4 linked regions of the Drosophila melanogaster genome follow. The protein of the gene in region 4 interacts with the protein of the main gene of each other region in a pairwise test. Each region holds a gene or a part of one and is shown on either strand. Other genes may lie near its edges.

What was found.
Region 1: the proteins of CG8854 (region 4) and CG5050 interact in a two-hybrid assay, tested with the Drosophila melanogaster proteins (one large-scale study listed by BioGRID).
Region 2: the proteins of CG8854 (region 4) and CG4393 interact in a two-hybrid assay, tested with the Drosophila melanogaster proteins (one large-scale study listed by BioGRID).
Region 3: the proteins of CG8854 (region 4) and Art4 interact in a two-hybrid assay, tested with the Drosophila melanogaster proteins (one large-scale study listed by BioGRID).

What each region holds. Positions count from the first base shown.
Region 1 is NT_033779.5:17,450,728-17,460,255, forward strand, and holds CG5050 (uncharacterized protein), read left to right. Parts: upstream 1-2,196; 5' UTR 2,197-2,497; coding exon 2,498-2,710; intron 2,711-2,787; coding exon 2,788-2,997; intron 2,998-3,156; coding exon 3,157-3,446; intron 3,447-3,535; exon of another isoform or gene 3,536-3,610; coding exon of another isoform or gene 3,611-4,924; intron 4,925-4,998; coding exon of another isoform or gene 4,999-5,169; exon of another isoform or gene 5,170-5,196; intron 5,197-5,942; exon of another isoform or gene 5,943-6,034; coding exon of another isoform or gene 6,035-6,967; intron 6,968-7,028; coding exon of another isoform or gene 7,029-7,079; intron 7,080-7,142; coding exon of another isoform or gene 7,143-7,298; exon of another isoform or gene 7,299-7,317; intron 7,318-7,748; coding exon 7,749-8,019; 3' UTR 8,020-8,048; downstream 8,049-9,528. Other genes in the region: SPH93 (serine protease homolog 93), read right to left, coding at 3,611-4,924, 4,999-5,169; CG18563 (uncharacterized protein), read right to left, coding at 6,035-6,967, 7,029-7,079, 7,143-7,298.
Region 2 is NT_033777.3:23,381,237-23,387,977, reverse strand, and holds the start of CG4393 (uncharacterized protein), read left to right. Parts: upstream 1-3,200; 5' UTR 3,201-3,478; intron 3,479-5,156; exon of another isoform or gene 5,157-5,301; intron 5,302-5,430; 5' UTR 5,431-5,444; coding exon 5,445-6,324; intron 6,325-6,617; coding exon 6,618-6,741.
Region 3 is NT_033777.3:9,981,182-9,988,585, reverse strand, and holds Art4 (arginine methyltransferase 4), read left to right. Parts: upstream 1-2,525; 5' UTR 2,526-2,906; coding exon 2,907-3,108; intron 3,109-3,170; coding exon 3,171-4,064; intron 4,065-4,118; coding exon 4,119-4,529; intron 4,530-4,587; coding exon 4,588-4,673; 3' UTR 4,674-5,770; downstream 5,771-7,404. Other genes in the region: Glut4EF (glucose transporter 4 enhancer factor), read right to left, coding at 798-1,689, 1,753-1,938, 6,216-6,307. UniProt on the Drosophila melanogaster protein: Methylates (mono- and asymmetric dimethylation) the guanidino nitrogens of arginyl residues in proteins. May methylate histone H3 at 'Arg-17' and activate transcription via chromatin remodeling. Coordinates ecdysone-mediated expression of cell death genes.
Region 4 is NT_033778.4:12,222,937-12,232,125, reverse strand, and holds CG8854 (uncharacterized protein), read left to right. Parts: upstream 1-2,815; 5' UTR 2,816-3,018; intron 3,019-5,279; exon of another isoform or gene 5,280-5,781; 5' UTR 5,782-5,782; coding exon 5,783-6,422; intron 6,423-6,881; coding exon 6,882-7,420; 3' UTR 7,421-7,665; downstream 7,666-9,189.

The sequences.
Region 1 (9,528 bases), on a different chromosome or scaffold from region 4:
AGTAGGAATGCAGGCCAGTTGTTTCTTTCAAAAGCTTTTAAAATGTGTCACCTTTTAAATCTATAACACGTATTATATTGAAGGAATACCTAATTAATTGAAAATGCATATCTTTTTATTAGGAGCATCCCAAAGGAATCGGAAAATATAAATATTTTGTTTTTCTTAAATATTGAGAATTCAACTGTATGGTAACCAATCATCAAGAATTCGATTTTCAATGTGAGATTCGTTTAAATAGCCGAATATTCCAACTATATATGCATATTTACGAAAAGTAAAATATAAATGGAAAAAATAACTTCCGTCATTTATCTCAGTGTCTTTCACATGTGACTCATCTCCACGAGCGACTGCCTCCGAAAAGCTTTTTCAGCTTTTATGAATGAAACAGCACGGTGAGCACTAACTATCTGTGTGTGTGGCTGCGAGCTATCCATTTAAGACCCCACTCCCACCCATGCGGTTGGGGGGTCTGAATCAGCGTACGATTCCTGGAAAAAGGATAATATCCTGCGCCGGCATTTGTTGTGGCATTAATTTCCACTGCGGCAGAGTCTCAATGCCGTGACTCACTTGCTTCGTGCTCAGCATTCCGGAGCAGCTTTCACTTTCCGGGCGGAGGACCTCTGACATTCAAGACGGCTTGTTACGCGGAATTTGATAATATTGCTGATTCACCTTCTGGGGAAATGGGGGTCAGTACAGTTGATAATTGAATACATCGCTTAAAAAGTGGTCGCACGTTAGATAAGGATTTTTATGTTTTGGGTTTTTCAGCTAATTAAACCAAATTATTAAATATGAACGATGAATAGAAAATATAATTGTCACATTATTTGGAAAACGAAATATTATCAGTTTGAAATACATGCGAAAGAACCAGGTAGTATTTTTATAATTTCATGACAAAATTACAAATAAGTACTAAATGTTCCTATTTTATTACTGTGAAAAATTTATAAGTAAATAAGAATAAAAATAATATTAATTAAAGTTGGATGGTCGGTGACACAAAATCCACATGCTTAAGTTCTTCCCAATACTACGTACATATGCATAAAAAAGGACTTTCCGCCATTATCGTAAATCGTTATCAAAACCACACTGGCACGAAGGTCATGCCACCTGGTAAACATACATACATACATAAGTGCACGTGAGCTAAGCGCAAATAAATAGGAATTATGTCAAATGTTAGTATTGAAATTCCACATCAATTGCCATCGCCGCCCGTGGAATTGGAGTGGGGGAATTGCGGGACTAAGTCAACTCGCAATGTCTTGATGGCACGAACGTAGAACAACAACCCGGTTAATGGAGTCCAGACATCGATCAAACAATGGTGAATGGAGAAGCTCCCACTCCCACAAGGCCGGCAACCAATTGCAGCGGGTTTTCCACGAAAATCACGCGATATTCGTCCAGTCCCGCGAGGTAATTTTTAATGGATCCTGCCCCCTTATAAGCTGACACGTGCTGGGGCAGTCATTTTCATGTACATACACATATGTACATTTGCACCCCGTGTATACGACATTATTGATTTTTTCCGGTTGTCGGACTTTCGCCTTAAACTCTTTGAACTTCCTGTGGCACGTGTCCTTGACAGCGGTGGGGCAACTAACCCAACAATGTTGTCGGTGTCCCATTCAATGTGAAGGTAAGAGCGAAGTTGCTACTTACCCCCATAGCTACATGCTAAGTCACTAAAATTTCTTTCAGTGTACAGCTAACCACGCCCCTGCCCCAAGGTCCTTGCTCAAGTTGTGGCAGCCAGTTCGTCTGGTATTTCAGTCAATGAGTTGCATAAGCAAATCGACGATTTTAAAAGAGCCATCAGCGATTTACAAAACAACGTAAAAAATAATTCTTTAAAAATGATTGTACACAACAAGTCTATATGTACATATGTATGTACATACATAGATGTGTGTGCAAGATCTATATAATTAAAAAAACAAACACATAACAAGCTAATAAAACAATATATTTTTCCTCATTAAAAATTGATTGATAAAGACACAGTTCCAGGAAATCTGTGCATATACTCCATTAAAAGCTATTTACATTTTATTTTACGAGAATAAGAGAATTTCAAGTAATTAAGTTTAATAATTAAATAGGAATAAGGGTATTTTATAAGTGAAAGGGTATTTCAAGGACAGTATTGCTTTCGACACAGTAGGGCAACCTGAAAATCCTTGAGAACCATTCGAGTGTGCGTGCAAATCGCCAGTTAACCCCTGATGTCCTTGGCCGATTCCACGTATTTGTTGCGAAAAAAGCAAGGAAAGCTAAAGATTTAACTTTTATACACTGAGGTAGCGTTGATTAAAACTTCATTATATTTCCAGCCTTTTTTCGAAGTGGCAAACTATTCAGTAGGGAATGTAAGGCCAATTTTCGTATATTTTTTAATTTGGTATAGCAAACGCAAACGCTATACAAGAAAATTTAAGTTTTTTTTTTAACACTTTAATACACGGCTGAATTAATGGATAGACAAGGTGTTCATAATAGCTATGGGTCAATAGCGAAAGACGCAATAGATGAGCAACGGATGGTGCTATCGATGCCACAACTGTCCATCCAGAGGAAATCCGTTACAAGCATGAAGTTATTCACCATGGTGGTGTTGCACTCGTGGCGCCAACGCCGAAAGGAGGTTCGTGAACTCAAAGAGATGGTGCAACACCTCCAGGATAGCGTTAGTATTGATGGTTTTAACAATTTGTTTATACGAATTATACGTATAGGATTATGTTACTCACCACTTTCTTCCAGTCCATGAAGACCAAAAACGAACTGCACGTATGTGGCACATTGATGCGTGTGGAGGAAAAACGAAACAGGGAACTTCAAATAAAGCTTAAGCTATCGACGATGAGCATTGACCAAGTAAGGTCCTCCTGTGAATCTCTTGTCAACTCGGTCCGTGACCTCACAACAGAGAAAAGGCGATTGGAAACCGATTTGGAACAGCGCTTGCAGGAGGTTAGTAGAATTATTTAGGATTATATGAAAGTACTAAACGAATTCATTTTTCCTTCAACTTAATTAATAAGTATCACTTCTTCATACTAACAAGCATACTTTTTGCAGCTGTGTCTATATTATTATAGAAAATTGATATAAATGTTTCCTAATTTGCAGTACAATGAGCTGGAGGAAGTATCTGACAAAACCAAACGGCTGCTCTTCAGCGCCTACGTGGAACAATCTAGCCTGCAAAAGCAACTAGCTGAGGAGCAGCGTACGACGCAGAGATTGCAGGCGGAAAAGGACCAGCTAATCCAGGAAGTGATACTGGCGGAGGGCAGAGATAACAAGTACCGCCAGGTGCGGGAATGGTACCAGCGTGTACTGCACAAAAAGGAGGTGTGCATTTACAACCTGGGAAGGAGATTGCATATGCTGGAGGAGCAACTGTTTGACATTAATGAGTAAGATTATTTATGCTCATGCTCATTATCGTTATACTTTCCCATCTGTATAACGAATAACACAGCACTATTACAATAACAATTTCTTTGCATTACTGTGCACTTTAATGTACACTTTTAAGCGCTTTTATCATTTATTGCATCATGTCGTTCCTTTTGACATATCACCCACTCCTGTAATCGAAGGGCAGCAGCTTCTCGGTAATCCAATTTGTAAACTTGGACACCTCCGTATATATGGCCGGAATGCCCTCCTGCCCGCACCCAACGCCCCAGTTTACTATTCCAGCCTGCTCGTACACACCAGAGTTCTCCCCTCCGATTGAACAGAATAGGGCCGATCCTCCATCACCGGTGCAGGTATCGCGGCCTAACTCGCCTCCGGCGCAAATGATGTTCTTGGGCAGCTCAAATTTAGCGCCCAACCTGGTCGACCTCAAGAACTTCTCGCAAACATTTCGATTTACCACGAGCAACTGAACTTTCTTCAGGACGGTGGAGTATCGTTGATCCTCGTATCTCATTTTTCCCCAACCGGCCACCGTGCAACGACGTCCTGCGAACGATTTATTTGGTGTAGGCAAACAGATAGTTCTGATGTGATCATTCAGTTTGAAGGGCGAATTTAGGAAAAGTAACGCCAAGTTGTTGGCACCTGATTTGAAGTCAAATCCTTCATGGATTACTGCCCTTTCAACTTCGCGCTGCTCAGACAAAAATATCTCTCGATCGGATTTTAAGTCCCAATCGCCGGCCCTGACCACAAGTTCGGTTTCGATTGTAATTACCCGGTGAGCTACTGTTAGAACGACATTTGGTTGAATCAGGGATCCGCCAGCCAAGTACTGTCCATTGTGAAAAATAGCAACAGCCCAGGGATATTGAGCTGGTCGTGCTTGATCAATGGTTATTCCTTCTACCATTTGCAAGCCATTTGCGTTGCTCATGCCGCAACTTGGTGACAAAAGCTCTGAGCTTCCAACATTGGTAGTCGGGTTCCCTCCGTTGTTTGTTGGATTTCCAAAATTGGTAGTCGGGTTCCCTCCGTTGTTTGTTGGATTTCCAACGTTGGTTGTTGGATACCCACCGTTGTTTGCTGGATACCCACCGTTGTTTGCTGGATACCCACCGTTGTTTACTGGATACCCACCGTTGTTTACTGGATACCCACCGTTGTTTGATGGATACCCACCGTTGTTTGATGGATACCCACCGTTGTTTACTGGATACCCACCGTTGTTTACTGGATACCCACCGTTGGGTGTTGTATACCCGCCGTTGTTCGGTTCGGTTGCTGGATTCCTTTCGTTGTTGGTTGGACGCCCACTGAAGTCGTTGATTTCCTTTACTTGTGACTCAATGGTATTTGGGCGATCTCTAGTGAGTTCGCGTGTAGGCGATAGTTGTGCATTTATTCCGTTTACTCCAACCTTATCATCTTCGGGGCCATTTGGTTCAATTAAAACCGTACCTCCAGGCTTTTATCCGTCATAGAAAATTTGCACTTAGTCAAGCTAACAATAAATCGCATTCAACAATTGTATAAGCTTACCTTTCGTAGAACTGCACAGCAAATTTTGGTATTGCCGCAATTACTGGAGCGGTAATCAAATGTTGGTTCCTCATACAAACAAAAATTCCGGGTAACGCAAGTATGTCGACAGGCATTGCCCATAAGGACACTTGCTAAGAGTAGAGTTCCGATTGCCCAACAATGCTTCATGTTTGCTTCAGAAAACTGAGTGAACGAACGGCTGGCAGTGGGTATCATTATATTTCTTTGCTGAGCAGCTTAAAAGCTTATCAGCCGACAAAGATGTATTCGAAGTACATATGTACATGTACATATGTACATGCATATGCACATAAATTGTGTTATTCCCAAAGATTGCACAGAAAACGCTTAAGTTAAGAGATTGCGAAAGAGATATTTCCGAATTCTTTGGAAATATCCATTAAAGTTTTCAAAAAAAATGTTCAGATTAATTAAACTGGTAACGATCATTCCCAGGACTATACATATATATCTCACAGGATTTGATACGCTTAATTCTAGCTGTTACATACCTTTTAACTAATCGAGTTATGTATCTACCCTTTACCTTTTCGAGTAACGTGACCTGTATAACACGTAATAAAGTTTCAATATAAAAAAAATTTTTTTTTTATGTACGCATATATAAAAAAAAAACATAAAGAGGAAAGAACTACAAATATGCGTACAAAAGAATTATCATCTGAAATATGTACACATTTATATACATAACACTGACCTTAGGATGCATGGATTATCGCCGAGTGAAATGCCTATTTTTTTTCCAATTTGGGATTTTCCTAGCCACTGTCGATTTGTACTATTTTTCCTATTTTTTTGTAAATATTTAAAGCTATATAAATGCAACGCTATATATTCAGCTGAATATTATGGACATCGATTTAAAAATCTTTGCTAATATCGTCTCAAAAACCTTTTTTAATGAAAAAATTTTTAAATTTGATTTTGATTAAAAATTCATTTATTTTGTATATTTATACAATAATGCATAATCACAATCTTAATGAAGAATTGATGTAATAATCTTTAAGCGTTAGCCAAAGTATGCTATCCTATTATAAATCCAACTTCTGAACATTGCCACATTGGTGTAGATTCCCGGGAGGTCCAATCCACACCCCATGCCCCAGGCGACGATCCCAGCCTGCTCGAAGACGTGTGGATTCTCATCTCCGAGGGAGCAGAACAATGCATAACCTCCACCGCCAAAGCAGAAATCCCGGTTTATTTCACTTCGGGCGCAAATCAGACTCGGATGAAGATCAAAATTCCTGCCCAAAGTTGTATTTCTAAACTGAGCCACGCATGTCGTTCTGTCCAACACGGTTAACTCTAATTTCTTTATAATTCTCATACGGCTTTGATCATGGGAACTCACCAAGTCCCAACCGGCAACCGTACAGCGACGTCCCTCGAACGACGCTTGTCGGCTTGGCAACGTCAATACTCCAATGCGATCGTTTAGCACGAACGGTGTTTTTACGAAAATAAGAGCCACATTATTAATACCCGACTGAAAAATGAATCCTTCATGTCTCACAATCCTTTCAACAACGCGCTCCTCATACTGAATGGGTTCATTTGTTGTGTTCATGACAAACTCGCCGGCCCTAACCACAATTCTATCTTCATTCATTTTGTTCATTGTGTTGTGGGCTGCCGTTAGGATCACTTTTGGACTAATTAGTGAGCCGCCGGTCAAGTAAACTTCTTCGTAAAATAGGGCTACCACCCAGGAATATAGACCAGTCGTATTGCACCTGCCTCCTGGCTGTGTCCGTTCAGTTGGCTTTGGTTGCTCAGCTTGCGCACCATCATTTGTTGGGGCGCCCGATCCTTTAAGTGGCCAATAAGTAATGGGTACATCAGGTTCCGTAGAAACATTGTTTTGGGGCTCACTTGAGACTGTTGGTCTCGTTGGAAAATAGATAAAGGTTGGTATGTTTTCCTCTTCTGTAGAAGATGACTGAAAAGTTGAAAATTTAATATTAAACAGATTCAATTGCAATTTAAAATAATAAGCATACTGCAGACTCAGAATCGGATTCCTCATTCGGTCCGCTAGGGATATAAGGACTCTGCAAATTATGAAATATTAATTCCAAATCTGCGTACAGGGATTCTAATCAAAATATATACACCTTTATGATAATGTCACAACAGACGTGATTAAATGGGCAACTATTTAGTTTTCGACTTAGTATTAAGCACTTCTCCATAGGGACACAATACCTACAGGCTTCGCCCGAAAGGACGCAGAATAAAAGAATAGCTGCTGTGGCCACGATCGATCCCATGTTTGCTCGGGATGATTAAATTGACTGAGAGATAGAGCAAGCTTTCCGATGCTTTAGTACACTTTATATTATATTAAGTCTTATCAGTTACAAAAAAAAAAAAAAACAATATGTGAAAAGGAATTTCTGTAAACATTTTTCGAAATTTTTTCATAATTTTATAAGTCTTGTAAATTTTTATCGATTTGCAAAAAAAAAGCTTTTTGCCACGCCCAATCTAACGAGATTTCGCCGCCGAAATCTAAATTTTTTCTCATTTTATTCCCAGAATAATGATGAACTTTCGCATTCGCATTCACATTAGCTGAGTAACGGGTATCTGATACTCGGGGAACTCGACTGTAGCATTCTCTCTTGTTATATTTTTATCGTTTTGTTTAAATTATATGCTATAATTATATGCTTATATGCTATAGGCTAATCTAATTCTTATTCACTTTCCTACTTAAGGCACACTGGAGAATTGGAACAATTGCGTGAGAGTGCTCAACAAATGTCGAACGAAATCACAGAGTTGCGCCAGGAGATCAACCGAAATCGCAACGGTGTCTTCGGTGATTCCTGCTGTCGCCTCGGACTCGGACGCCTCCACGACCATGTGATTGCGCCCTTTCAAGGCAACCATATCTGGATAAAACTTCGACGCTATTCCTTTAACGTGATATATTTGTTTGCTTTGTATCTGCTGCCTGGAATGTCTCTCAAATATCGTCAAAACTAAACCTAATTAAATAAACTTTCTATAAAAATATTTTCAAACAGTTACCAAATTAATGTAATCCCCAATAATCCCCCAATAATTCCCCTATTATGGGGGAAGAGTCACAGTGCTGTTTGCGTTGGAATCGTTTGTGGTTTTCTGAAACCTATGTTAACATGCAAATGACTATTGTTAACTTGCTTAACTTTTTTTTTTTTAGTGTAATGATAAGGTAAGCCTATGGTGGGTGTTTGTAGAGCTTGACACAGAACTTTAAAACATATTTTAGTCATTGCAACTGGGTCTTTAAGGTTCTACTTAAAGGAAATCAGCTAGAAATTTACAAATTATAAATTAAGAACTTTAAAAGTAATAGAGAGATAACTTTTCCCTAACAAATGCGTAAATAATTAAATAATATATAAATAATAAATAACAAACAGAAATTGAATACGCTATCAATGCCTTTTTTATAGGCTTATTAAACTTTGGCTTTAGCAATTTTTGGAACGTCAATTAATATTGATAAGCTAAACAAAAAAATGTATAAGGTCGTTTCTGGGTATTGGTATTGGGTAGGCTAACACTAGAATATTAGAATACTAATATATTTTATACTCTTATTGTTAAATAAAATAGTTGGTGGCCTAAAAGAACACCTACTATACATATACATAAGATATATTAAGACGTCACTTTGAACGGCAGTCCACGTAGTAACGAAGCGCACCAGGAGTGTACGAAGGCTTTGATGGTAAAATCATAGTGATACACGAATCGAAAGATTGTTTTTTTTTTTACCTTTTTAAGAAGAGTTTTTGTTTCATTTTATATATAACGCAGATTCCAAAAAATAACATTAAGAAAACAATCTAAGCTCATATTTGCTAGTTTGTTTATTTTCACATATTTTGCAATGAGTATTTTGTATAATTTATATATATTTCTGGGCTATCCCTTGCACACTCGGTTGCATTTTTCATATGTCCACAGTTACCACATGCAAAGTTATTGCAGTTTGCCGGCATTTTATCATAAAACTTACATTAAATATCCTTCAAATCTTAAATTCAATTGCTTCACTATTACACTCATTCGTAATCCATCGTTTGGGAAATAGAAAACTATTTGCTTTGCTTCCACTTTACTTCGTTTCTGGCTATCCATAATCTCTAATTGAAATACTCTAGTCTCGAGTTAATTTTATGATTTATGTAGTACGCATATTGGCTATCAATACTTTGGCTTGTTGGATCGATGTATGAGTTGAATGTGATTCTCGGACTTTTGCTTGGACACGAAACTTAAAGTGAGTTGTTTCATTCGTTCGTTATTGGTTCAGTGAGTTGCGTAAATAGACTTTGTATTTTTCATTTGTTCGCAAAAAGGGACGGTAAAAATTACAATAAAATCATTTGAAATATGTATGCAACTTGTTTTGTTCGCTTGCTTCTTTCTCATTCGAAATATCAACTGACTTCAATGTGTATATAAATATATTTACAATTAATTAGATCCTCGCTTTTCTGG
Region 2 (6,741 bases), on a different chromosome or scaffold from region 4:
TAATGACTTTATTATGAGCAATGCAGGGCAGCAACGAATACAACATGTAGTCATAAGTTGTTGCAGTTGATGCTGCACCAGTTGTTGCTGCTGCGCTGCTGCACTGCCGCACTGCTGCACTGCTGCACTGCTGCACCCACCCAAAAGTGACGTCAGGGTGCGGCGTAGTCATCGCAGATCGGTTTGGCGGCTTGGGGCCTTTCAAGTGTGCAGTTAGCTGAAATGAATACCGGGCCAAATGCACAGACCGAACCCAAACGCAAACCGAGATCAGGGCATGACAGTATATCAGTTGACGTTTCTCGGCTGGCGTTGACAATTATTTATGGTAATAAACAGTTCCGCTAAAGCCTGACACTACTCGGCTCTTCTATCGCAGGCACTAAATCCCAAGATCCGAACTTATTCGAAGCCCACATAATGCGCCACTAATTGCTACGAACTCGATGTGTTACAATATACATAAAACTTTACGATTTCCACAATTGAAATGATCGCTGGCAACGAGGGTTATTAAATATATATATATATGCAACTTGCGGGGGGCGGAACAATTCAGTTCAGTTCAGTTCAGTTCACAATTTGTAAGGCAACCAAAGTTCGGTTTCATTGTCAGCAAGCAATGGCTAAAAAATGGCAAAACAAATGGCCGGTGTCTCATTAATGCCACACAATGGTGGCAGCCAACGGCGTCCAAAATATGCAACATTCATCAATCACACAGCAAGCAAGCCAAGCTGACCTAAGCTGATGTACACTGGAAAAAATGTATTAAAATCGATACAATAGAATTGCAACATTATTAGTTTGAATGGTTTTAATTTTTTTCTGATCCTAAACTTCTTTTATTCGTTTAACTAGCTGAACATCGTGTTAATATTTCTATGATGAATGGAATTGAAAAATATATACTGAAAAGTTATTTTTCTCAGTGTCAATTGTTTGAAGCGTGGCGCACTCTACTGGCCAGCGAATGAAAATGAGTTCACGCGCTGCACTTGAGGTCGAAAATGGTCGATGGAGGAGGGGCGGGTACGGACGAGGGGCAGTTGGCGGACCGACTGTGTGCGGATTGATTTGCTTGGCGCATTTTCAAGTCAATTACACATATTTGTGGCATTTGCGGCAATTGAGTATGAAAACTCATGCGGTGGGTCGTTGCAGCAGTCGTAGGTGTTGGCCGTCTGTCTATTTTATTTGTTTGCGGCTGGGTTTGTTTGCCAGTGTGCGAATGTGGCATGCCACAACAACTCGCCGCATGTGTCCGCCCACCAAATGTTGAGGTTTTTCGGGGCTGACCAAGTGAGTCACGTTGGCAGTCGGGGCGAGCCACATATAACTGCATATATAGCCATAACTCATGTCCCAGTCGTTGCACAACGAACTCGAGAGCAATGGTCAACTGAGGGGTTAATGAGGTATCTCTATTTAAACAGGTAATAAGAACAGATAAAGAATTTTACTCGTTAAAACGAAAATGATATGTGCAAGTGTCTGGTTAATGAGAAAAAAAAGAACTCACTCAAATGCAGTTCACTCATTTTCATCAAAACGGGCAACAAGGTGTTAATTGCTCTTATCAAAACAGCTGATGGACAAAGCTTTGATCAGCCGAATCCCAACCGAAGCTTTAAAACAAAACAAAGGTGTGATAAGAAAGCTCAACAGGGCGCATGCGTAATATCCGGAGAGCGAGAGAAATGCCAGCGAAAGCTCAGTAACAAACAAAGTGATGTCAAGATGGGCTGAAGGGCGCCAGAGAAAAGGGGTTCCACAAAAAGTTACTCATATTTTGTTTACTACATGAGTAGTTACAATCGTGTTTATTCTCTGCTGTTTGGTGTATAGCCGGGAAACGACTACGTGAGAAATTTATTTAGTTGAGTTTGGGAAACTTGTGGTGACTGCGAAATATAAGCTAGTAACTGTGGGAACTGGTCACATTTCCGTGGAGGAAAGTGTTCAAATTGCAGTGGTTCGCCCAATTAAATAGTTTATTTACTCATTAAATTATGTAAAATACGAATTGCGGCGAATTCAAATAAACTAATAACTATCAAAAGAGAACTAACTAAAATTTCCCAATACAGCAAAATTTATTAAAATAGGTTAGTAATAACTAAATGTGTGGGTTCTATAACAAGCATTTTAACACAAAGGCATAAAATAGCAAAACTAAACATATATCAAAAATTTAACGACCGTAAGAAACAATAAATTTTACTAAGATACAGTTATTGACCACATTCGCGAATATTTAAGTGAGTAAATATAATGGCTAACTTTAAATTTTTAGAAAAAATAAGTATTTTTATAAGTTTTTTAGCTAGTTCTTCAAGAGAAGTTTATCTAATCGCTTCTGTTTACACATCGGTAAATATTCCTAATTGCGGCGCCCCGAGATCTGCCATAGATATAAACCAGATCCACGAGCCCATTTGTCGGGTGCATTCCTTGCACAGATCATTAATCACCTGATCGAGTCGATCGGTAATTCAATCCACTGCATATATCGAAGACAGAACTCTGGTATTTATTTAAAGGCGTGTTCCCTTATAGACTGCATTCCCCGCCCAGTGATTGCAACTATTTATAATACACTCCGCTCTCCGCCAACAAATATATCCGTGCACATACGAGTATATCTAAATTTCATCTGACTGTGCGTCTTTCGGTTTCGCACATGAAGATACGTAAACAAAAGCGTATCTTCTCGCCCCCGATATAAACAACAAACAAATAGATATATTTTGTTCTCCCCAAGCACTCTCTCAGTTAGAGAGAAATTTCTGCCCTATAGACGAACTCAATACTTCTTCTGTCGAATGCTCAACGAATTTTCTCCGCTCATTCGCCCGCATTGTGTGAGTGGCCAAAACAATCAAGTGAAAGCGCTGAAATTGTATTGTGGTGCGCCCAGCGCATAGCTCATAAACAGAGAAAAACAAGAAAACAAAAAAAAAAAAGAAGTCGCAAAGTCGGTGAAAAACTTTCGTCGGATACTGTGATACTGTGATACTACTGTGCTGCACAAGAGCAAAGTGCACGGCGCACGGCGGAGAGAGAGAGTTCGCAGCTCCGAGTTCCAAGTGTCAAGTTCCAAGTGCCAAGTGCTATCTGAAAATTATTTTACGGAACTAACGCAGACCCCGGGGCCTCGAACTCAGTTTCAGATTCACAGTCAGCGTCAGTCGCATGCGAGAGTTGCTGACGGGCGGAGCTGAGAAAAATTCGGAATCGGAATCGGAAAAATCGGTGACGAGACGAGAAGATATAGCACAGACGGAAACTGAAATCCCCGAAAGAAAAATGTGCTAGAGAAGATGTGCGAGTCTGCGAGTGTTCGAGTACATAAATCGCAGCGAAATCAAATGAGTTTTATTCAATCAACGAAGAAAGTCCGCCCACCAACGGAAGTGCTATATATACGTTTATTGAGTCTGCCATCTACGACATCCCGAATAAACTAAGCGAAAAGGTAAAAGCGAAAATGTGTGTGTATATGTGTATATGTATATGGGGGGAAGTACACGCCTTTTTAGGTGCACTTTAGGTGAAATGCTAACTACGAAATGCTTGAACCCCTTAAATGGGGAATGTGCATATGGGAAAGGTAAACTAAACTGAAAGACGGAAAGTGTGATTTGCCAGACGACAACTGGGGTTTTTTTTTTCAGTCATCAGAAGTGGCAGCGCAAATGTGCGCTGGGCTTTGGGCCAACTTTGCCTAGGGTCAACATCCTTTGACCCAATTATGGCATAGGAACTGCACAATCTCTGCTGCCAATTGGCAATGTTGCCTTCTGTTTTGTTGTGGTTCCGTCTGGTTGGCTGGTGTCAAGCCGTTTATAATGCGCCTCAATTTCCGTTTGCCTTTCTTTTGGGCCTGGCCTAAACGCATCCCCAGTAATAAACCCCCTCTCTTCCTGCCCTCCTATTATCCTTGCTACTGACACGCCTCAGAGTTTTGCAAGCGAAAAATTATGAATAGCTTGTGGGGTGCGGAGGAGGGCAGGACATTGGGGCTTTGGGATAAGGACTCAGGGGACTAAGGATATATGCGGGGGCGGTTATGCGGGTGTAGTTGGTGGTGGGCGCGGCAGAGCAGGCGCACTCCTTGCAACTCTCTCGTAAACTCTCTCTAGCGCGCTCTCTCGTAAACTCTCTGGACGAGGACTCCAAACCCCAACCCCAAGGATGTGCCTAACCTACCTTTTGTTGAATTTCATAGTATGTAGTATGATAAACGTCGTAGGCAGCAGTGTGAGTGTGTGTAAAACCGCTGTGGGAGTGTGTGTAAGCAGGTGATTATCTGTTGCCGTCGTGTATTTATCTCATTGAGGCATTCAAAAGTGGAATGCATACCGCTTTTGGGCGCTTTTAACGTGCTTTATCACGTTATATGGCGAGTCCTTAAAGTCGGGACTATGGGCATAATATTGAGTCATTCTGCGCAATATTTAGCCCAGTCAGTCAATGGTTCATTCAACAAGTGACTGATTCGTATCTGTATCTCACATTTCACATGTTGCAAAAACTGTAAATTTTTATATATTAACATGCCAGCGGAAATAGCTATAATTAGTAAACACTTGAATGATGACGAATTATGCGGCTATTATTATTTTCTAGCTTCAGCTTTACATGAGTTAATATTTCAATGGTTGCTGGAAAGTGTTAGTAAATGAGTAATGGCTTGAAATTTATTTTATTTCATTGCATATATTAAGAATTTATGGAACTCCATTTATTTGGTTTCCACTGTCACATTGTGAGCAGACATTACTGGCTTTATCTGCATCTCGCAGATGCAATGTGAAATGTGTCACGTACATATCAAAGATACTCGAAGATATTCCAGCGCGTGAAAAGCACTTCATCAGGAGCAAAGCTCCACTCGACAGCCTCTGACTTCCAATCCCTCCACCAGACCACCCACCATCCTGCTCCAGCCTTATTGTGCAATTTTTTTTATGGCAAGCCCTCTGTCGATTGAGAGCTGCGCGTGAATGGGTGGTTGGGTGGTAGGCTTAAATGGAAAGACGGGCTAAAAGTCATTAGGGCTAAGAGGAGAAAAGGCGACCCGCAAAGGCCTGCGAAGCCACAAAGCCGAAGGCGTTTTAATGAAGCACACTTGACAGTCATAATTCATTTGCAGCAAATCAACTCAGGACAGGCAGACAGACAAGTCCCCTACCAAAAGGTTGGGTCTTGTCCTTTAGCGATGAGGAGTGCAGGGAAGTCCATTAATGGAAAGCCATTAGCACACAGGAAGAAAACGTTGTCCTGCAACTTAAAAGGGTGTGTTTCTTGTCCTGAGTTATTATCATCAAATTATATTTAAACTGTTGGTTTCATGAAATTTTAATAGAAATATAAAAGATATATTTGGATATATATTATTAATGTGAATATTGTTTCTTGTTTCAGCCTCTTTTTTAACAATGGGCAAGGATCAGGAGTTCCTGGAGGCGGCGCGCAATGGAAACATTTCGCACATCGAAAAGGTGCTAACACAGAAGGCGAAAAGGGCAGGACCGCTGGCCAGTCTGCGTCGTGGCACCGGGGTAAATGTCCAGGACAGTGGTGGCTACTCCGCCCTGCATCATGCCTGCCTGAATGGCCATGAGGATATAGTGCGTCTGTTGCTGGCACACGAGGCCTCGCCAAATTTGCCGGACTCCCGGGGATCCTCGCCACTCCACTTGGCCGCCTGGGCTGGTGAAACGGAGATTGTGCGGCTCCTGCTGACGCATCCGTATCGACCGGCCAGTGCCAATCTGCAGACAATAGAGCAGGAGACACCACTGCATTGTGCGGCTCAACATGGTCACACGGGAGCACTTGCCCTGCTGTTGCATCACGATGCCGATCCCAACATGCGCAATTCCCGGGGAGAAACCCCTCTGGATTTGGCCGCACAATATGGCCGATTGCAGGCGGTTCAAATGCTTATACGTGCCCATCCGGAATTGATAGCACATCTGGGCACCGAGGCCTTGGAACGGGGCACACCATCACCATCGTCGCCAGCATCGCCGAGTAGAGCCATCTTTCCGCACACCTGTCTGCATTTGGCCAGTCGCAATGGGCACAAAAGCGTGGTGGAGGTCCTATTGTCCGCCGGAGTTAGTGTCAATTTGCTAACTCCATCGGGAACTGCACTGCATGAAGCAGCTCTGTGTGGCAAGGAGAATGTGGTCAGGACACTATTGAAAGCTGGCATCAATTTGAATGCCACAGACAATGAAGGACGCACTGCCCTGGACATTCTGCGCGAATTTCCACCGCATGTCACCAAACACATTGTGGCTGTGATCAACAGTACGTATGCGTAATTTACTTGCACATGCTCTTATGACATGGTTTTATTTTAGTAAAAGTTTCATATGGTGTTCACTTCATATAAGTGCATTAATACTACGTATTAGTGCAAAGTAATATATAAGCAAAGCTGACCCGATTTATACCTATGTAATTATACAATGCAATGCAGATAAGGAGAGGTCTTTTGTTGTTTATTTTCTTGAAAGTCATCACATAAGAATGCATGTGTATATATATCCATTATATTTGTTGATGAGTATCATCCAATGTATCTCTTCCTTTTTCCACAGACTTCCGTAACCAAATGGATACAGATGAGGGCGACGAGGTGATCTACAGGCAACACTCCGGACCACCCAATTCCGGACGTGGCCAAAACAAGCACCATTCGCAACAACAGCCCCCACTTAGCAA
Region 3 (7,404 bases), on a different chromosome or scaffold from region 4:
GAGATACCGTTACGTGTTTAAGGTGCACAATTCAATGCAGAGTAAATAAGAAGAGACCATTTTTCATTTGCATTTTTGCGTTTTGTGTCCTCGGGGTGGCAACAGCTGCCACCGACAGCCATCCAGGAGTCAGCAAGCTATCGGTGCACTCGGTGGCGGCTCAGGTGGACTTAGCCCTGCATCAGCACAGCCTGCGCCTGCTGCTGATTGGCGGCTGCTCGGCTCCAGGCCAGCAGGCCGTTGGCAGCAGCCACCTGTGCCTCCTCCTGATCCTCGAGCGCCTCCGGATCCACCTGCTCCTGATCCTCCTGCTCCATCTCCTCTAGCTCCTCGTCAGCATCCTCGTCAGCATCCGTGTCCTCCATGTGGCTGGGAGTGGTGTTCGTCGTCGTTGCTGCGCAGGCAATGGGCGCCACAATCACCGAGGTGGCCACACTGCGTATACGCACCGGCCGATTGCTAATTGTGTTGCTGTTGGCGGTGACCGCATACGGATGCGGTTGTTGTTGCTGCTGCTGCACCGGGCCACCGTAGCGCTTGTTGGTTTTGATGGTCAACGACGAGGGTAGCTGCTTGCCGGCAGCCACCTCGGCCGCCAAACGCACCACTGTGGTGGTCATTTTAGAGGACGTTGAGGATGTTGCTGCCGGGCTGGGAGTTGCTGATATTGCTTCTGGGTTGGGTGTTGCTGTTGCTGATGCTGATGATGATAATGCTGCTGATGATGCTGCTGTTGCTGCCTTGGACTGGTGCGCCGACGCCTGGTTTGCCGCCTCCGTCGACGACTTCTGTCGCTTTCAGTCGCCGAAGCGACTGCACGCCTTCTTCCACCGGCACTGGGTGCACCACTGGTCGCGTTTCTCCATGCCGTACACCTTGCGGCACTTTTTGTTCTCGCCACGCGTCCTCTTGCCGGGCGAATGGGGCGTATGCTTGACGGCTACCTGTTGCGCCATGTGCTGTTGCTGCTGCAGCGGATTGCTTCCGTTGCTGTGGTTGTTACTGTTGTTTTGGGCAACCATGTTGCCGGCAGTTGTCTGTGGATGCTGCTGCTGGTGGCCGCGCATCGGTTGGTGGTGGTGCTGCTGCTGCGCCGGATGGAAATTGGGCGTGATCGTCACACTGGACAGGAGATGTTGCTGCTGCTGTTGGTGGCTGTGTTGCTGCTGCTGCTGGTGGTGTTGCTGCTGCTGCAGTTGCTGCTGCTGCTGGCTGTGGTGCGCCGTCACTGTGACGTTCTGCTGCGACAGCTGCTGCAGCATGTTGTTGGCACTGCTATTGCTGTGGATCACTGGACTGCTGCTGCTGCTGCTGTTGCTGCTGCCGCTGCTGCCGGCGTAATTGTGGTGGTGCGTGTGTTGGTGGTGCTGCTGTTGCTGGACGTACGTCGGCGATGGATATGGCGCTACCGAGTGGGTCGGACGGGAGGACGACGAGCGAGCGTGCTTGCCGATCGGCGAGGCTGATGAACTGGCCGCCACCGACCCCGTCCCCGTGGAGGAGTAGCTGCCCACTGTCGCCGTCGCCGCCGGGCATGTGTAGTTGTGGTGGGCTAGGTGCGAAGTGGGGATGCAGCTGGTGTTGTTGTTCTGCAGCTGCTGCTGGTGGGTGCTCGGGATGTTGCTGCCACTGATGGTGCGTCCGTGCGACTGCGCTAGATGGTTATAGTGGCTACCGCCGCGTCCTTGCCTGGAAAATCGAAAAAGGATAATGTCATTAAATGTATCTATATCGTGCACCAAGAGAACCCACTTGAAGTTGCCAACAATCTGCTTCTGGTACTCGGGATCCTCGTGCGGCGGACGCGCCATGTCCCGGTGACTCAGAGTCGGCTCGGAGGCCAGAGTGGGCTTCACCTGCTCGACGTCGTCGTCGGCATCCTCGAGGTAGAAGTCCTCCTCATTTCCGTCATCATCCGCGGAGCGATGGGAGTCCTTTCTGCAATGCCACCGAAAAATAGCGAAATTGATTAGAAGGATGTGTCAGTGATGGCAAGTTTGCTTCAGTTATGTACCTAGGTTCGGTATTACTTCAAATCAGATTGATAGCTTTTAAATTAACGAACTTAAGTTGTCTAACGTTGTTTATTCGATTTAATTCAATTCAAACAAATAGGAAAAATATTTTAAAATGAATGCTAAAAATTGCTGTTAAACTTTGGTCAATATTTATTAAGGTACCTCATTTAGGTACCTACTCTCCATTTCAAGCGACCGCTTTTTTGTACTAGCGTTGCCAACTAGCCGACCACCCACATTAGGTTCGAGGCCCTGCTAGAAGTGTTCCAGAGTTCTGAACCTTGATTCTATCCACTTAAAAAACTATATTATTTCTTTTTACATTTCTTTTCCCCGCACTATTTTTTTTCAATTATATTTCAAAATGAAATTGAGATTGATGCAAGCTTCCTTGCATACAATTCTTTTGTAAATCTCACTAGACTGAAAAATCGCTTAGTCTTAAGGTAGTGCGCGGTAATAATCCTATCGAAAAGCATCGGACTTGGTCCCACCTCTAGCCTCAACTATTTGTTCCAGCTCTAGCACTTTTTGCAAAAAAGAACGCATGTTCCGTGTGAAATCAATACGAAATCAACAAGAGCGATCGATTTTGAGTAATCGTCCGAGTTGAAAAGCAGCGCACTATATAGTTCCCAGCGCCAATTAATCCAGCTGCCCGAGTCACCAGCCATTTTGTGTGTGGTGGAAAATTTTGCAGATAGAAAAAATTGCGCGTCTGTCTGTCTGCATCTGCGTATCTGTGTGTGTGCGTGTGCTAGAGTGTTTGTGTGTGTGCGTGCGTGCGTGTGTATAGCGAGGTCTACATTGTCAATTAACAAGGGAAAAAAGACGCTTGTGGTCCTGCTTTGTTCCTTTGCCTCTTTACCCTCCAAAAAGCCAGCCAACATGTCCAGCCTGCGACCCGAGGAGGCCCGAAAACTGGCCACCGCCGCCTCCGTTTCGCCGCTGAGCAATTGCCAATTTTGCGGCGTGGTAATCAGCTCGATTGCCGACGAGCAGAAGCTAGAGTTTACCAACAAATACAAGGGAAGCTGCACGCTGCTCTGCAGCTACGATTCCCAGGGTGTCGTCCTCCGTGTTGTGTCAGGTAAAAGAGGACATCGAATGTTTCATAAAACCCGTTCCTTATATCGCCAATCTCTCCACCAGACGACGACCGGAGCCACGTGCTCAAGGAGTACATGATAGCCGCCGATACGGATGCCGCCCAAATGGGACGAAGGAGTTATGCCGTTTCCCTGGACGCCGACAATCTAGTGCTGAGGTTTGCCAGCGAGCAGGACCAGCAGCTCTTCCGCAAAGTGGTGGAGAACGTGAAGCACTTGAGACCCAAGTCCGTGTTCTCGCAGCGCACTGAGGAGTCGTCCGCCTCGCAGTACTTCCAGTTCTACGGCTACCTCAGTCAGCAGCAGAACATGATGCAGGACTATGTAAGGACAAGCACGTATCAGCGGGCCATTCTAGGCAATGCTGTGGATTTTCAGGACAAGATCGTCCTGGATGTGGGCGCCGGCTCGGGCATTCTCTCCTTCTTTGCCGTGCAGGCGGGAGCTGCCAAAGTGTACGCCATTGAGGCTTCCAACATGGCCCAGTACGCCCAGCAGCTGGTTGAGTCCAACAATGTGCAGCATAAGATCTCTGTGATACCGGGGAAGATCGAGGAGATCGAGCTGCCCGAGAAAGTGGACGTTATCATATCAGAGCCTATGGGCTATATGCTGTACAACGAGCGCATGTTGGAGACCTATCTGCATGCCAGAAAGTGGCTCAAGCCGCAAGGAAAGATGTACCCCACGCACGGCGACTTGCACATAGCACCCTTTTCGGACGAATCGCTCTACTCGGAACAATATAACAAGGCCAACTTCTGGTACCAGTCGGCGTTCCACGGCGTTGACCTTACCACGCTGCACAAAGAGGGCATGAAGGAGTACTTCCGACAGCCCATTGTGGACACCTTCGACATCCGCATATGCATGGCCAAGTCGGTGCGGCACGTGTGCGACTTTCTCAACGATAAGGAGGACGATCTGCATTTGATAAGTAAGTACCCGAAAAAGTGATTTGCGACAATGGCCAACTGTTGACTTTCCGCAGGCATCCCCCTGGAGTTTCACATTCTGCAAACTGGCATCTGCCATGGGCTGGCCTTTTGGTTTGATGTGGAGTTTAGCGGCAGCAGCCAGAATGTGTGGCTCTCAACGTCGCCCACAGCGCCTCTGACACATTGGTATCAGGTTCGCTGCCTTCTGCCCATGCCCATCTTTATTAAGCAGGGCCAGACGCTGACCGGCCGTGTCTTACTGGAGGCCAATCGGCGGCAGTCGTATGACGTGACCATCGACCTACACATCGAAGGCACGCTGATTTCGTCGAGCAACACCCTGGACCTTAAGAATCCGTATTTTCGGTACACGGGGGCCCCGGTCCAGGCACCGCCGGGGACTAGTACCCAAAGTCCATCTGAGCAGTACTGGACACAAGTGGACACGCAAGGATCACGCAATTGTAAGAACAAATCCTTGATATAATAATCTCATTGCTTATGTGATTATAATTTCTATAGCTTCAAGCATGCTAAATGGAGGGATCAGCGTGAACGGAATAGGCGAAGGCATGGACATCACTCATGGACTTATGCATCCGCACTAGGGGGGCGGTGGATCGAATAACAATACATCTTTCTGGGAATTCCCTTTGCTCTAAGTCCGCTCACTTTCTACGCTTGATCCTAATTTTGCCAATTTTTGTTTTGTTACAGTTTATGATTAGGTTATTTATTGAAAAGTGTAAAATATTTTTATCTATTTTCGAAAGTTAGTTCTGTTCTGTTTTGCATACCTTTTAACAACCTCTTTCCCTATCGTGCTATACTTATCCTCCCTTCTCTTACCCATTTAATCGATCGGACAAATCGAAGGAAATCCAGCATCCCAGCAAGTAACCAACATACAAACAATCAACAAATCAAGGCAGACTAATGTAGTTGTTTAGAACACGCAGCATATTAATAAGCCTAAGCTAATTTAAGCCCATAGTAATTAGAGTTTTTAACGTATGTGAATTGTAATACCGATATTTAGCCCGCACGGGACTGCGCTTCAGGAAGTTTATTAGTTAATATGCCGATTGCCAATTGCAGATTTTGCCGTAAGCTTTGAACAAACCAACAAATTCAGATTGTACTGTATCTATTATGTGTGTTATTATACTATATATTGTGTGTACCTCCAGCTAGTTTCAATTTTTGTACTTGTCGACCGTGTTTATGTTTAGTTCGTTTCAAAATGTAAGAAATTGCTCATAGGATTTAGTGCTAAGCTACGATATCATTACTAAAGGCCGACCTGGGTCGAGAGATTATACTTATACCCCCAATACGATTATGATTAATTCAGTTCAGTGGAGGCACACCTCGTTCGATCCTAAGTTACGCATCCAAGCCCAGATCCTGTCATAGACCCAACTATATCGCTGCCAGCAAGCCGAGCGCTATATAAGCATATACACCTAGATATACGCGTTAGGTACGCCAACCTATACACACCCCGACATTCTCGCATTCGTATCCTGTTTGCGGACTGTACTTTATAGAGCAGCAAGTAGAAACACAAAAACACTACAACACCCAATACACTGCAAACATAAATATAAAGCAAAACATATACAATTATATATATATATATATATATACGAATAGATATACCGCATGTATGCAGATGAGAGAACAATGTCAAAGCAAAAGCAGCAAAAAACAAAGCCCCACCGCGTCTTTTATTTGTGCACCCCCACTTGGAACCCCTCTCGATTTACATAGGAAACGAGATTGGCAAGTGTCAAAGCTCAGCGCGGATCGTGTGTGGGCGCTTTGAATTGGACCTTGGCCTCAAAAGCGCCACCACCACTGCACCTGCCACCCACTGCTGCTATTGCTGGCCTGCTGCTGCAGGTGCGCATTGCAAAGTAATCTGCGTGCTGGAGAGGGGCTACGCCGCACTCGTGTGACCTGCTTACTGTGCTCGAGTGCTCTACTTTCGAGGCACCACCAACACCACCTTCAGCACCCGCTCCGGGCGTGTGGAAGTGCTGGCGGGGAAGGAACGAGAAGGTCGGGTGGCTAAGTCAAGGCCCCGCCCACTTGCTGCTCGCCACCTAATCCTCTGATAGCAGTGCCATTCCCACTTGTACACTTACCCCAAATGTGTTTTCCTAATGTGACGCACGACTCCATTGAGATCGTCTACCACGCCAACACATCCTCGATAGACGCATCGGAACTTTTTGGACTGCAATGACAAGAGAAGGTGATTCTGATTAGATTGATTACATATTACATATTATTAGTTTGCTCTTGAATATAAATATTAATTAAATATATCCTTTAATATCTAGCGTACTTGGCGGGAATACGGCTGCATCACTGAATCCTCGGAGGAAGACGTGGAGGAGCGCGAGCAACTATCCCCCGTGGGACTGTGGCGACCGTAGCCCTCGTAGTCACTGCGCTCCACGTAGTAATTCATTGCCATAGTGTGCATGATGGTGGTTCTGCAGCAGCTCTCCAACTGGCGGCTCTTTAGCGGTTGCAGTCGCAGCTGTGGAGCAGTAGCAGGAACAGGAGCGATTCGAACCGGTGCCGGCCCGGTGCCAAGTGCGACTGTGTGAGTGCGGACAATGCAACTGGCTGGCTGGCTGGCTGCTTGGCTGAAAGCCAGATTCGAAGTCCTTGGACTCCCGAGCGGCAAACGATGCCGCCCGAACGAGCTGGCTGCCTGGCTGGCCATGCTCGATGCCGCCTGCACTGATAACAGGGCCCGGGTCCGGTACGCGTCCTTGCCAACTCCCCCAGCCGACCACCACGCTGCTACCCGCTGCCACCCGTGCAGCCCCTTATTTACTGGGTCACCTTCCGGTCGCTTTGCTCCGTTTGTCGCTCGCCTTGACACGCTTTTGGCGCCCAGCTCTTGGCGTTTTTATGCGCCTGCATTTATGCTGCGTTTTTATGCTGAAGGTTAGGACAGCGCTGCAGCAGCGACGCCGGCAATTGACCCAGTTTAAGTATGCTGGCTCACTGTATATATATGCCCGTTTATATCTATATACATATGTTTATTGCACGGTTTTCGGGGGTACAGCAAACCACTGATTGCGTCCTTGTGATGGCAAATGTTGTCCTTGTGCGACGACGACTGCTGAACAAATTGAAAACTGAGTTTTCGGTTTCCCGTTTCGGCCTTGTGGGCCAAGTGATTAACGATTTGTTTACAACTTTTGTGGTTTGAGAATGCCAGCGAGCTTCAATTGTTATGAATTGCAGTGGTGTGCCGCCATTTTGGCCCACTTAAGCTGAGTTTGCGGAGGGCGCGCACATGGCGTATGCGTA
Region 4 (9,189 bases):
GTGTCAAATATAAACACGTTTTAATTTGGTTAAAACGCATTGCTATGTTTTTTTTTTTTTGAAGGAAATGAATGTAATCCTCAATTTTATCTTTTACAGCTTAGTAGATTTGATGAGCTGAACAAATTTATGAAATTCTTTTGGGCTCTCATATTTCGGCTTAAATGATTAATTTACGTTTGAATAATTCACTTAAAGATGGATGTTGGGAAAGGGCTTCTTACATACTGCCAATTGTACCGAGTTTGGAAAAGGAACCACAAAAAAGCGTTTTGCTGACACACCAAATGGGAAGCACACAATTACCGGCCATATTTCTTCCCTGTGTTTCTCTGCCATTCGGTCGCTTTCCTTTTGTGGGCCGAACACGTGCAAAATGTCCAACACGGTGGCCAAATGGGGCCAGAGTAGCAAAAACGCCATAAATGCCCAGGTCCACTTACAATTATTGCCCCAATGGAGGGAGTCGTCGGTGAGTTGCAAAAAAAAAGAAAGAAAAAAAAACAAAAAAGGCCGCTGCCACAGAGGCTGCCCCAGCTATGAAAAATCGAAAGTGGCAAGCCGAGTGACAAGCGTAGAGCACAGCGGTAAAAAGAGTCATGTGCTATAGGCTATAGCCATTCGATTCGATTCGGTTTAGATTCGGATTTGGATTGGTAGATAGGTATAGAGGTATTGGTACTGGTACTGCGACTGGTATTGGGCTTGGGTGCAGCGCAATCTGCGACTCAGCATCTGTAATGCTCGCTGCAGCTGTTGCCAATTCACATTGGTTGTGGTAATCGTAATAACCAAAAGAAACTGAAGAAATCATAAAACGTTGAAAGATGCATAGTATCACTCACTTATAAGTGTAAGGAATTCAAAGAATTAAGCTATATTACATGTAAATAGTTCTTCATTACTCATGCAAGATGTTTTCATATCTTTAGGATACATAGTATATCTTTTTTTGATGGCAAGCTCTATGGCAGTACAATTCGATATGAGGCCTACAATATCGATTGAAATCAGATATATGTACTCCTCAATCATTGATGTTACTACTTGTGCAATATTGTTGCCAATATGAAATAGCTTTGCAGTTTTTCCTTGCCATCACTAAGAGCATGTTGCAATGTCGCCGGTGCGAAGTATCTGATAGATAGATACCGACCGAAAGAGCCGAGCAAACACACACACATACGTATTGGAATTGGAGCAGAGATCAACGAGTCTGCCGCCAGTCAAAGGCAAACATCTGGTTGCGGCACCGCTCCCTTACCACCCCCTTACCATTACCGGAAAATGCATCACCACCGCCCCCCGCTGGGTGGCCAGGTGCAGCCGGTTTCCTGTGCGTTGGCAACGTGTGCTGCCCAAGTCCCAAAACGACGTTCGCCATTAAAAGCGGCAAATTGCTCTGGCTCCAGAGCCTCTGAATGGGTCCAAATAGTGCATATGTACCTATATTGGGGTTGGGATTCTACGGCAAGGAATGTAGGCCTGATGAACTGCAGGCTGGCTAAATGAACTCAATGGATGGATGGATGCCCGGTGAAGGCAACAATTTTCGAAGCTCTCGTGACCAGAAATCCAAATAACATTCGAAAGCTGAATGGCATGAGCTTGCAAGACATTTATAGATATATTTCTAAAGATATATATGTATATAAATACTAACATATGATAGGAATTTATATTTTTAAATAATTTAAGAAGCATAACATCTGCGGTCGCTGAGATTTCGCAAATCCTTTAAAATTCCCCAAACAATTATTTGTTAATTGCCTGCTTTTTTATCTGGTGACACATCTGACCACAAAGTGTGGCCCACTTGAGCTGGCTTAATTGAATTGCTTTTGGTTTGGTCTATGGGCCATCAATTGATTGTTTGCACTCGACACTCACCGCAATAGGAAATAATAACTGACCTGACTGAATAAACACCATAAATATCGGCACGACTTTGGGGATACCACACAAAAAACCAACCGCCACCGCACTGAAAGTGAAAGCTTTTTTTAAGGTTTTTTCAAACAATTAATTTTATAAATACCTTTTGGTAGCTAACAAAAAAAACTGCATAAATTATTTGGGCTTTAGCTGCTGGAGATGGGAAAAGTCTCGAATGAGAAATGATGCTCATCACCTGTTTTCTTTTGATGAATTCAAAGGCGGCGCACATTGCCCCACCCGAATGTCGGTTCAAGTTGAAGTTGAAGTTGAAGTGATGCAATTTCTCTCAGCAGCGATTTCAATTTCTTTCCGCAAGTGAAAAAGACTTGAACTTGGCAGCTGCTTTTTTTTTTAAACCACTTACTCTAGCAACGGCTATGGTCACTATGCGGTTAAGTTGAATGAGTTTCGAAAATGGGTGTAATATATGTTGGGTATGAATCAGCTTCTTTTCCTAAATGATGACAGTTCAAATTACAATTTCTACTTTTTAACTGAGTTTTTAGATACATTTCTTTAGAGCAACTTCAATTCGTTGTGTAATGAAGCCCAGTTTTGCTTACATATCTATGGCATTTCCCTGGCGCAGCCGCATTTCAACGACTCTCAAATTTGCATATCAATGTGACTTTGAGTAGCTCTGCGACTGTGACATAACCACCTGCTGTCATTTTAATTTACTGCTAATTAATTTACAGGCCGGCCGAAATTACATCTAGCCAAAGACATAAAGACTGAATGGGATCTCTGATTAATTTTGATGGAAATTGGCAAGCGAACATGTGAGGTGAGCTCAGACCGAGGATCAAACCCGTTCGAACATGCTGGCAGAGAAGCGCCAAAGACTTGTAACTTGGCTCAAACCGTTGGCCAAAACAGTTGAGCGCCGGTCGAAGAAGCGAACACAACGCGGTTGCGCATGCGCGTAGATCATGTGCCGATCGGACGTGTTTGAAATTTACAATTCACAAATTGGCTAAAAGAGCGTTCTATAACCATAAAAGTGCTCTGTGACAAGTGACCGACGGCATAAAACAAATTCAAATTTATAACCAACACCAAAACCAAATAAATAACAAGGTGAATGAAACTGCCCAGAAAACTGTGTCAAAAGCAAAGAAAGTTGCTATTTTTTTAGTGTGGGCAGGCTGCCAAGTATCTTTTTAGGTGTATCTTCAGCTCCGTCTGATGTTCGTTTTCAATCTTTTGCGGGCTTGTCGAGATTGAGTGATCATCTGCGTGGGTCTGTGCCACATAAATTCGAATGCATCTCAGGTGTAATGTAATGATCACCATTTTAGGGCACTACGCCCAGGTATGCGAGAGAACTGTTCTTCTCAGGTGATTCATGATAAAAACTTCTGCTCGTCTCGCATACTTTTTTCAAAGGTGCGGCAGAAGATGTGACTTTTTAAATTCATTTTACCCTGCTCTCGATTGGTTTGATGTAAATCCACAATTGGGCATGATATCACTCGAATAAATATTTATATATTTGAATACTTAGCAAGGTCGATTGGCATTTGGCAAACGTGTTTCCAGTTATTTTGCATTATAATCCGATGTCGAAATATTTACCTTACCTTTGCATAATTTGTGCTGAATGAGACATGGACAGGTTGTTAATTATTACCTTAATTGAAATATTCGGAGAAAACCAAAGTCAATCGAATAATATTATGGAGGTGGGCAAAATTTTGAGTAGTAAAATATAAATAGTGGAATATCTTACCAGTTAATATTTATAAAGAGTGTTTGTGGTTGCTACCTACAAACCTACATTTATCTTAAATAAGTTTATTTTTAGTATACTTAAATTTAATCTTTATTTAAATATCCCATTACGGTCATCCGTCTTAATAGCATTTAATAGCCCGGATTTGCACAAATATTGATAGTTGTCTTTTATTTTAAGCCTAACTCAGGTGGCCAAAACCACTATCAATCACCAAACACGCTAACAAGCCCGACTGATTACACAAAGTAACTCGACGCGAACTTGTCACATTTGATATGCAAATGGCCAGAAGCCAAAGTCAAAGCGGCACTTTACGCTGAAATGAATCTGAATCCGAAATTGAATCTGTATCTGAGGTTGACCGGGGCAATCAGCCAACCGCAGTGAAGGAGTGGAAGTGCCGTCCGAAGATGCCAATTAATTAACAGGGTCTTAGGGGTTTTAAGTGGTTCCATATCCACGAATGTGTTTGCATATTCAACTCTAATTGCGTCTAAACACTGCGCATGCAATTAACTTTTCACGGTAAAGGGCCACGTGGCGCATACGTAATGCGATTTTCACCCACCAAGAACATTTATTATTCTTATCAATTTATTCATCAGTTATCTAGAATAATAACTGGAATATCAAGTATAGAGTGCAGAATTTGTATGCCTACATTGTTTGTTTTGGATTGACTACATTTTGGAGTTCCTTTAAATAATAAATAGCTTAAAAAACAAGCCCTAAACCATTTTCACTCGCGTGCAAATCACTGAAAGTGCATTCAGATGGGCTTCTGTGTGCATATTTTGTTTTGTTTGGATATATGCCATAAAAAGTTTATAGACCCTGAAAGATACACAGATAAACGATTTCATTTGCGTGTCACAGCCAAGTCACGTTGTTTTATTTTTTTTTCGCGGTACAGTTTGTGTATTTTATAAAAAATATATTCCCATCGGAAACCTTTTTTCTTGATCAGGCCATACAAATGTTAATCGATAACCGAAGAGATTAAAACAAACCAGGCAAAAACAAAACCAACTCAACATTTTTATGCAAATGCACAAATCACAAATGCCTCGAAAAGATTGCGCAAAACCCTTTTTTGAAATGGGCGTTTTATATTGTAGAAATAATTAAGGGGAAAACCCCGGAGAAAACCAAAAGCCTATGTAAAATATCAGCCGAAAAATTTGCCTAAAAATTTAATTTAATATTTTTTAAGGTATTTTTTTTAACTTTGCGGAAACAGATGCATTAATATTAATATTTTCTGTGCCCATTCATGCTTTTCATTCAGATTTCGGTAGAGATTTAATCGAATGAAAGAAATGTGAACCGTTTTTCGCTTATTACATGTTGATATTGTCTTTTATGTTAAATAAACTCTGAAATGAATATGCAGTTAAAAAAAAACTGAACGTTTTTCATTTATTTAGTTTTACAATGGAAAACTCGGTGTATTTTAATTCCATTTCGATGGCACTGCAACTGACAAGCCTGATCGAAAATCTAGTTAACCTTCTCGACAAAATGGAAATTTGTGTATTTTTTGCATGGCACTTATTCCACTTGATTTTGTATCGCATATTTTTATAAATTTATACAGTTGCCGACGGGCTCCATTTCAGATTTTAATTAAATAGTTTTTTGTTTTTTTAATGAAATTTGATAAGTAAAGCAATTTGTTTTCGATGCCCGAAACGGGTGGATGGGTTTTTTGTTAGTTTTCCTTTGACGTAAACCAGTCTGTTGGCTAATGGAATATCTCGGCTTATTGGCAATTGGAATGCCAATTGATTGGCCATGCTAAGTTATGCAGATCCATAAACCGGCTAATGGTTGCAATCTGAAGTCGTGAAGTGTAACACCTGCAAAAGATATAGCCAAGCCGGTGTGCAATTTTAAGCCGGCATTAATGCCGCGGAAAATTCGCGGCCAACGCCGAAGAACGGGTTCGATTCGTTGACGGAAGAGTTTTCAGTATTGGCCACAAAGTGCGTTGCGTAAGCAACCAGTTGATGCACTTGCTCATGGCTTTCCCACACCACGCGCACCATCTCCGCATTTTCCCAACCAATATTTATGTATTTTTTCTTTGCCTTTTTTTCTTACAGCATGCGTGAACGCAGTCAAACGACCCCAAGAAGGCGACGAGCCGGTCCAAAACAGGCCTTACCTGGTGGCAGCTCCTCGGAGGGAGTGGGCGCCCTGGAATCCCCCTATTATACCATTGACAACACGGAGGATATATATGGCACCACGCTGCTGCCCTCGCAGCGCTGCTATGTGGATCCCTGGGATCTGGAGAACTATGATTATGTTCGCAAGAAGATCGATGATGTCACCGGTGGCGGTGGTGGTGATGGTGATGGTGAGGCAATTGAACCTGCCTACGGAGGTGGTGGCAACTCGCTGACGACCAGTCCCACATACGGATACGGAGTGGGTGCCGCCGGTGCGGGTATGGGTGTGGGCATGTCGGCCACAATGCCACGCCCCCACACCCAAAGTCGCCGGGTGTCGCGTGCCCAGTGCCAACTTGAGTGCTGTGTGCCCCAAAGGACTCGTCGCCGTAGCCGCAGCGCTCGCAAGGAGCCACTCTATACGGCCAGGAGCGATATTTACGGTGTGCCCAGCCGCTATGAGGACTACATGGCCACCATGACCAGGCAGTTGCACCTGGACAACGGCGAGGATGAGGAGCCGGAAGATCTTTACGGCGAGGAGCAGCGGCAACTGTACAATGGCTTTGGAGGTGAGTGAAAAACGCAAATAGCAAATGCAAATTCGAAACCCCTTTAAAACTAGATTTTAATTTAAAATTCCTTTTGTTTCGTAATAACCAATTTATTTAGTTAGCTTTGTATGCAAATCACACAAATGCATTTAGATTTCATTTTCGATTCCATTTGATTGTTACAATTTACGCAGTGCGTCTTTTATGGCAATTCGATTAACGTTTAATTGCAAATCTCTGGCAAAATCATTGATTTTTGAGCTTGACTAATGAAATTTGATTTTCTGTACTTGGGGATCATTAATTACTTAGTATTTGTTATATATTTTGATTACTAATCCTTTTCAAACTATATGTAAGTATAAATGTTTTATTGATTTTAAACCCATCGAGTGCTTAAATATAAATGTAGCTGTTGTAAAATACCAAATGATTTTGATAGCTTTCACTAATGCCGTGTAATCTCACACGTTTCAGGCTTCTCCAGCACCAGTTCCACGGAGCATCCCTCCTCCATTGGCGATGAGCAGCCCGTTCTCCAACGACGCGCGGCCACGATGCAACGCCGCTCCGTGCCCAGCGAGATGCAGCGGAGCACCAACATGGTCGGCAGCTATGGAACTGCCCCCCATCCGCGGCGCAAGCGAAGCGGTAAGGCGGCGCCCATGGCCGCTCCGCCGCAGATCGATTTCCCCGCACCGCCGCCACTTTCGCCCGCCTACGACTACTGTAATCCCTATGCTTCACTGCCGTACTGCAGCATACCGGATTGCAGCGAATGCCAGCAGCAGATCTATGCCGCACCCTCCGCCCTCTACGGAACCATGGGCGGCTTGGTGGGTGGTGATGGCAGTCGGGTTAGGGGCTCATCGCCCCATCATTCCAGCGGTGGTGACTCGTCGCTCTACTCGGGAATTTACGCACGTAAATTCGGACTGAGCAAGAAGGGTCTACTGCAGATCGACTACTCATGCAGTTGGAACGATCTGGACAGGGTGATGCAGCGCCATTACTGAGATCCATGGGGCCGCATCCACGTGGATCTGGGATTTGGGTGCTTGGGTTAGGCTAACTACCAACACGTTTGCACCAATCGCGAACAGAAACCTTATTGTTATTTAAGTCATTTTGCATTACAGATACAAACACAAACACATACACACACACACACTGAAGACCAAATAACTGAAACATGTTTGTCGTAGATATATAGTGTTTTCATATTCATATTTACCGAATAAACATTTTGAAGTCAAGCATTAAGGATTTGTAGTTATTATTAAAACTTTCAAGGTATGAAAGTTTAAACTTGGCTATATGGAGAAGAGCTAATAGTTCTCAATAAAACTTAAAAGTAGAGTAAGACTGAACATAAGATAGTTTCTTTATTTCTTATAATTATAGATTTGTTCATAATATTAGCAAAGTTGAAGTCACTAATTAGGCAAAGCATTCAGAAACAAATAACTTGACTTGGTGACAAAGAAAAGTTCCTCTTTTTCCACTCTAATTAGTTGTGACGTCACTAGGCGAATGTTTCATGTTTGACAAAATGTTTGCGGGGGGAGAAATGAGAACACGGAAATGGTTTTAGCGCCGGACTTTGATGAATGTTTTGAGAATTGTCAAGCCTAAGTTAGTCGAACAAATGGCAAATGCGGCAGGTGTACGAACGAAATGGGAAATAAGTGACAGCAGGAAAGTTTTTAAAGCACACCTTTCGGTGTTGAATGGTGGAAAAATCCATTAAACTTTTCGCCAGCAAAGTGGGAAATGCAACTTCAGCTCGATTATCTCGGCCGGAGGTGCACAAATACATGGAGAGCGACCTGTTCAAAAGGGAAAATCAATAAGGTAAATAAAACGGAAAAGATTTTCCTCTATCTCCTTTGCTCTTGCCCCCTATTTCTCGCCATCCGCCCGCCTGCCCCCTTTGCCGCTGAATGCGATTTCAATTTCTCAATCCAATTTACCTTTGCAACACTGTATACACATCAGTACACAGACAAAAAATTTGTGTTGAAATGTATTTCAACTATAAAAAAGCAAAAAAAGGCAATATAAAACTTTAAAATCGTGTCATATTTTAAACATAACCATTAGAAAAATTTCCAAAAAAAACCTTTTTAAAATTTGATGGCAATTTGATATTTAAAAATATAAAGTATTATTATATATATAATATATTTTGGTTAATGCACATGCAAACCAGTAGTTCCTACGGAATTTTAAATAAAACAAAAGCAAATTTAAAAGCCGACTTTTTGTTTTCAGTGTAGCAATTTCAATACCAACACAAACACAAATACGAACCAAAGTACAAACACAAAGCACAAGTAAATCATAAAAAGCAGCAACAACAAGCATCTGCAAAGCGAAAATCTGAATGCACAAAAAGAAATGGGGGGTGGTGAAATGTTCCAAGTCGGATGGAAAAAAGAGACATAAAAAATGAGGAGCTAAGGTTTTTGCTATGCACATAAAAGCGCAAATATTTGCGCAACATTTTCGTCGTCGTCGTCGGCGATAAAAATCGAACAAGAAAAATATGCAAAAAGCTGAACAAGCCGGCGGGGAAATAAAAACGTCGCAGAAATAAGCCGAAGAATATAAAAAATATATATATGTATGTGTATATTAGTGTGGGTCCCTCTTTTTTACCGGGGATTTGCCTTTATTATTGTATAACGTCAAACATTTGCATGCGGCGACGCCTAAATGTATGCCACACTTTGTTCACCAGCTGCCACACCCCGTCGAAACCACCCCCCCCCCCTTGATCATC